Linked DNA regions of Kluyveromyces lactis. The main gene of each other region encodes a partner of the protein of the gene in region 2 in a complex. Links are inferred from orthologs where the notes say so. Each region holds a gene or a part of one and is shown on either strand. Other genes may lie near its edges.

What was found.
Region 1: the proteins of GCD2 (region 2) and SUI2 are in contact, whole or in part, in a cryo-EM structure (PDB 6I7T), measured with the Saccharomyces cerevisiae proteins. The link is inferred for Kluyveromyces lactis from reciprocal best matches to the Saccharomyces cerevisiae genes GCD2 and SUI2. Residues at the interface, in NP_011597.1 of Saccharomyces cerevisiae: Lys376, Glu377, Lys378, Leu381, Ala382, Gln384, Leu385, Glu631, Phe632, Glu646, Tyr647, Ala651; in NP_012540.3 of Saccharomyces cerevisiae: Arg57, Ser58, Ile59, Gln60, Leu62, Ile63, Lys67.

The regions. Positions count from the first base shown.
Region 1 is NC_006037.1:1,020,166-1,022,934, forward strand, and holds SUI2 (translation initiation factor eIF2 subunit alpha), read left to right. Parts: upstream 1-1,360; coding exon 1,361-2,269; downstream 2,270-2,769. Other genes in the region: KLLA0_A11792g (uncharacterized protein), read left to right, coding at 1-930. UniProt on the Saccharomyces cerevisiae protein: eIF-2 functions in the early steps of protein synthesis by forming a ternary complex with GTP and initiator tRNA. This complex binds to a 40S ribosomal subunit, followed by mRNA binding to form a 43S pre-initiation complex.
Region 2 is NC_006042.1:773,700-777,433, reverse strand, and holds GCD2 (translation initiation factor eIF2B subunit delta), read right to left. Parts: upstream 2,310-3,734; coding exon 501-2,309; downstream 1-500. Other genes in the region: MRPL51 (mitochondrial 54S ribosomal protein mL43), read left to right, coding at 1-290; mitochondrial 37S ribosomal protein mS44 MRP13, read right to left, coding at 2,749-3,714. UniProt on the Saccharomyces cerevisiae protein: Acts as a component of the translation initiation factor 2B (eIF2B) complex, which catalyzes the exchange of GDP for GTP on the eukaryotic initiation factor 2 (eIF2) complex gamma subunit.

The sequences.
Region 1 (2,769 bases), on a different chromosome or scaffold from region 2:
GTCACTAGAGGTGCATCCGGAAATTCCATCTTCAATGTGGATCCCATAGTAAAGAAGGAACCTGACAGTTTTGATTTATTCCAATTTGGTAAAAACACCAAACCCGCCTCTGCAAATATGTTCACGCCAGGGTATGTTCTTGCACAATTTAGTGCAGAAGATACGTACGAAGACATGGTTCGGATCGAAGAACCCCACTTGATAAAGTCTATTCAGCTTGTTGATACTATCCCAGTGGTCGAATTTCACAAGATTGGATTGCTATACATGGGACCCAATGACACAACTGAAAAGGATATATTGTCACACTCTATGGAGGATGGATCCCATCAATACAAATGGTTTGTTAACGAACTCGGATCAATAATAAAACTTGATCAAAATGAAACTTTTTACATCGGCGGTTTGAATCCTGGTACAGATGGAGAGTACGCGTTGATCTGGCATGATCAAAAATGTCAAATCGTGTTCCATACTGTATCCCTAATGCCTAACGACGACAAAGCAGATCCAGATCGAACAATGAAAAAAAGACACGTTGGTAATAACTTTATCAACATATATTACGATGAACGAAAACAGGACTCGTTCCCGTTTGACATAATCAAAAGTCAATTCAATTTCATAAACCTTGTCATCAAACCAATGTGGAACGGCAAAGATGAAAAAGACTCTGTGAGTGAATTCTATAAGGTGAAGATTTACAGAGCAAAAGAAGTTCCTGGTATATTCTCTACATCCCACTTCAAAATCATGCATAGGCAGCGCCTCGCAGCGTATGTCAGGCATTTATGTACTGTCGCAAACACATTCGCACAAATTTGGCACGAGTCCGTATCGTCAGAACACTGTTCTACATGGTCTCGCAGATTCGCACACATCAAAACAATCAAAACGAGGCTAAAAAATCAATCTTCTGGCGCTTCTTAGCACGATCGCATCTAGTATGGGTTACTGGTAGTTAGTATCTCTGCAGCTTAATACCTGAGGGCCATTAGTAGTAAGTAATGAAACTTAATTATAATAGTTAGGTCACGTGTAGTACATCACTCTTAACGAGCAGATCTAAAAATTTTTCGAAACTGTGATGCGAAGTATCAAAAAATTGAAAAGATTGATCATTGGAAAGCATATACAATATTGAAGCAACAAAGCAATTTCAATATCGGTATACAAAGGTTTCCAATTAAGCTTCGAACTTACGCGAGCAGTCTCTGATACCGAGGAATTTAATTTATCTGTATCTTGCGATAGATAACGATTACAAACAGAGTATACTTTCTTTGAGTTTGTGGTATATCTTCCAATTGAAAAATTACACAAGAATTTATCATCAGAGCCATTAGATATACAGAGCAGGATGTCCACTTCCAATTGTAGGTTTTACGAGAACAAGTTCCCTGAAGTTGATGATGTTGTGATGGTAAACGTCCAACAAATCGCTGAAATGGGTGCTTACGTTAGATTATTGGAATATGACAACATTGAAGGTATGGTTTTGTTATCTGAATTGTCAAGAAGACGTATTAGATCTATCCAAAAGTTGATTCGTGTTGGTAAGAATGAAGTTGTCGTTGTATTAAGAGTGGATAAGGAGAAGGGTTATATTGATTTGTCTAAGCGTCGTGTTTCTGCAGAAGATGTCATCAAATGTGAAGAAAGATACCAAAAGTCCAAGGCCGTACATTCCATCTTGAGACAATGTGCTGAGAAATACCAAGTATCATTGGAAGATTTGTACAAAGCTTATGCATGGCCTTTAAGTCGAAAGTACGGTCATGCTTACGATGCCTACAAGATGTCCATTGTGGACCCTAACGTTTGGGATGGTATTGAATCTATCAGCGACGAAATTTTCCAAGAATTGAAGGGCCAAATCACCAGAAGATTGACCCCACAAGCGGTCAAGATCAGAGCAGATGTCGAGGTTTCATGTTTCAGTTACGAGGGTATTGATGCTATCAAAGAAGCCCTAAAATCTGCTGAAGAGTTGTCCACTGAACAAATGCAAATCAAAGTCAAATTGGTGGCTGCCCCATTGTACGTCATCACCACCCAATCTTTGGACAAAGATCAAGGTGTTCAACTATTGGAAACTGCTATCGCAAAGATCGAAGAAGTCATTCTAAAGTACAATGGTGTCTGTAATGTCACAATGGCTCCAAAGGCTGTCACCGCCACTGAAGATGCTGAATTACAAGCACTATTAGAATCCAAGGAATTAGAAGGTAGATCAGATTCCGAAGATGAAGACTCCGATTACGAATAGATGGTTTAAAGTGAAACCAAAAAAAAAGGAATTAAAAAGATATACTTCTACTGCTTCCTGTTGTTATACGTGTATACAGCGTTTCGATACCTATAAGTCTTTGCATGTCCTCTCTCCATTTCTTACTTCACTTAACATTGCATTATATTTACTGATGAAGATGAAACAAAAACAAAAGGCCATTTTCTAACAGATGTTCAGGTAATAAACCTATGTTTCCACTTGACTGTGCAGAGAACTACTCTAGCATTTGAACAGGTGGTATCTGCCAATTACTGTCAGCCTTTCCATTCGATTACGACTGGACGTTTTAAAGGATTTTTACATTAGGAAACTCCCATTTTCCTTTTTTCTAGTTTCTTCTTATAATAATAAAGGGAAGCTCCATAAATCCTTATTTTGAAAAAAGAGTGAAAAGTCTTTAAAGTACAACGAAACGAAACTTCTATGTAGTAACATTAGCACATCGGGTATTTCATTTAAACGTGTATAATAAACTA
Region 2 (3,734 bases):
ACAGAATGATTCAATGGGCTGAAAAATATCCAACAATACAGTTCGAAATAGTAAGAAAGTCTGGCCATCCAGTTATAAAAGGTGACTATGTTAATGGCCGTAATAAAGCCATCTGCGTAAAAAATCTGAACATTGATAATGTAGAGAATAAGTTAAAACTAATCAGAGACGCATCTGGTGAGCAACTCCGTCACAGAACTAAGAACGACAATGTGGATACTTTGAACGATAGTGTGAGAGGTATCTGGTCTCCACTACATTTAAGCCCAGCCATCAGACACAAGGTTTGAATCGAAAAAATGACTTGTGAATGGTAATATCGAGATCATAGCTTAACTTGTACATATATATAGCAATATCCTCGATGAAGCCGATACCTAAGTAAACAACCTACGATGTTGAATATTACTACGCAATTAATAAAAAAGAAGATCTATACTAATTTTTCATTTACTATATTATATGATATTATCGTATATTATATATGCAAAGGGCTCCATTCAAGCTGATGCTTTGTATTCTCTAAGAACCACGGGAACAGAAGATGGTGGCAACGAACCAAATTCTGTAATGATCTTCTTGATGTAGTCAGGGGGTGTTAAATCGTACATTATATTGAAGATGTGCAAATTAGGTGATTTCTCCCACTCTGCTAGTATTGGTTTATCCTTGACATTCTTACCTTCGTCGGCAGTAGCATTATTGGTATTAGCACTGCCAGATTTATTATTTTGCTTAGAGCTATTCTCGACTTCCTTCTGCTGCGCTTCACGCTCTTTGATAAATTGCTGTAATAAGAACCCATTGTTGTTACGTCTCTGTACAGGATTAGCAGAGTCAATGGTTACCAAATCGTTTGGATCAGCAAGTTCATTAGATGTGACACTATCAAGCTGTACCCTTTGAGAGAACTTTAAAGACTCACAGCATACAAGTACAGGAATATTTCTTCTGCTTGCCAACATAGCGATCTGAGCAGTACCGACTCTTGAATATAGGAAACCATTTGAAAGAATCGAATGCGCTCCCAAAAACACATATTTGATATCCATATTGAATACGGTACCCAATGCTGTAATGGGAACATACAAAACATTAAGACCTTGATTTCTCAAAGATTCTGCCATTTTACGACCCTCAAACAAAGGTCTACTGTCCACTATAACAATTTGGAAGTTCTTACCGAAATTTATGGCGTTGTGTAGGAATAAATCAGTTAAAACCTTGGAACAGCCATAGGTCAATATAGTGCTGCCTTCTTCAATATGTTGTGAAGCTGTTTCAATGATAAGTTGATCAGCCAACTGCACTCTTTCTCTAGCGAACTGTGCAATCTTATCACAAAGTTCTTTTTTGGCCTTTGAATCCGGTGTTGAAGGATCGATTAGAGAGATTTCTTGCTTCAACCATCTAATGGCATTACCCATGGTTACACTCAATGGTCTTGACTTCTTCAAGAAATCAATTTGATGGGACAGGTAACTTGTCAAATTACGTGAAAGAGTAGTACCTTCTGGAGTCTTGTAGTCTCTGACAACCAGTTGGAATGCCTCTAACATGGCAATACAACGAGGAATGGAACCTATAATTTTATAGAATGCATAATCCAAAGTCAGAGAGGTGATAGCGGGATGTAACATTTCGCGATTGGCAATCAATTCTTTTACAGAGGCAATCGATTGTTGATTTGTAAATTGTGAAGTCATGGTATTTGGAATGACGGATGATATTCCTGGGACAAATGAAGACGATTCATCAAGGGACAAGGAATTTAGCATTTGATGGGCTTCAAAATCTTCTGAATGAGCCAAACCTGCCAAATTAGTATTGCTTCCAGAAAGGTTTGAACTCAAAGGAGATGCAGACATTGGTTGGGAAACCGCAACCGCGGGTGTAGTAGCAAGTAAAGGCAATACTAACCCATTAGCAGTAATCCTTGAGGTACCTGTAGAAGTGATAGCACTCGAAACTGCAAGTAAAGAAGCTCTTCTTTCTTCAGCAGTCTCTAGATGACCAAATAGAGTCGACTTCTTGGTATCATGTTTGACCGGGTCGGCTGCTTTATTCTTTTTTGCAGCTAAGAGATCTCTTTGTTGCTGCTTCTTTTCACGCTTAGCAGCAGCTTGCTGCTGCTGTTTTTCAATAGAGATACCACTAGCTTGCTTACTGGCTGCTCTCTTTGCAGCCTTCTCCTTCTTTTTCAGTTCCTTCAACTCTTTATTAGATAAAGGTTTTTCTCCTTCTTGTGCATTTGCCGTCTTTTCAGTATTAGTTTCTTTCCCTGAAGCCTCCTTAGCTCCTCCTGTCATTATTGGTGATTTGATACCTCAAAGTATACCGTTATTTGCCAATAGATTTCCGTTGGATCACAGGAACTGCGAGATCATCGATTGGTATTTATGTCAGCTTTTGAATAATTTCACCAAAATTGAAATTCTTAAAAAGAATGATGGAAAACTCGTTGACGGTGATTTCCTTGCAGATCGAACAAACTCAGTGCCCGAGTTGGCTAGCGGGAGTGACATGGTACCAGGCGCTAATTGACGAACATTTACTCAATTTGCGATGAATCCGTGACGGCACATCAATAATTATATAATAGAAGTATATTGTGTGAGTTTCTTTATGAATTATGGTCATTTTGTTAATGTTTTTTGAATTTCTAGTAATATTCTTAACTGACGTTGATTCTTATATATATATACATGAACGGTTCTGGGAAATATTGGTTACGGATAAGTCTATCCTTTATTTCGTTTCTTCTGCTTGTGCATCTGCATGAGCTTCTTCTGTCGTTTCAGATTCAGTAGCCTTTTGAGTTAACAGCTGTTTGTATTGGGATACGTATTTGTCGTAAATGTCAGCAACCGAGTTTTGCGCTAAAACGGCTTGATAGTTTTCAACAAACTGTTGCAGCTTAGCTTCAGTTGAGCCGAAGTCTAATGCTGTTCTGCTCAACAAATACTGGGTGGTGTTCTTTGTCAAGAAAGTCCTTAATTGATTTTGGCTTGCAGTGCTAACATCGATCGATGGCAAGTTAATTTCAATATTTCTAGCGAAATTAGGTAATTTCACCTCAACGTTCTGTTGTCTACCCAAAGCTTGAACAATTTCCTTTGTTAAACCAGTTGTATCTTCTCTTTTGGTAACAGTCGATGATAACTTCCTTAGGCCTCTCTCTACCATGCCGGAATCTTGAACGTTTTGGAACGCATTTCTATGCAATTGACACATCAATACAGTATTATACCATACATCTACGTTATAGGCTTCTAATTGCTTTGCTTTCACCAATAATGGCTGTATTTGGTACAGAACATTCAAAACTGCTCCTAAAGCACCAAACTTGAAAGTGGAAGTTAACAACATGTTTTGTAGATGCTGGGGAATCAAATAACTCCAGAACTCTTTCCTTCTAGGTGTGATATTCTTCCAATCTCTAACCATGTTTTCCAACTCTTCAGCTGACGATGCGTTCAATATGACGCTATTGAGAACTGATGCACTTGGTCTTAACACTGATGGTCTAGGTTGAATAGGAAGTTTAGTTTCTGGATCTTTCAAATCCATGGCCAACAAACGGTTAGCATTCTTTTTGCGGTAGATGTATGGTCTTAGAGTCTGTGGTGTCTTGACAAATTGTAAGAAGTTGTCAAAGACCGCACGAGACTCTACACCAGTTGAAACCGATCTTGTGAAAAACCGAGAGAACATTCGCTGCTTTGACTGTTATA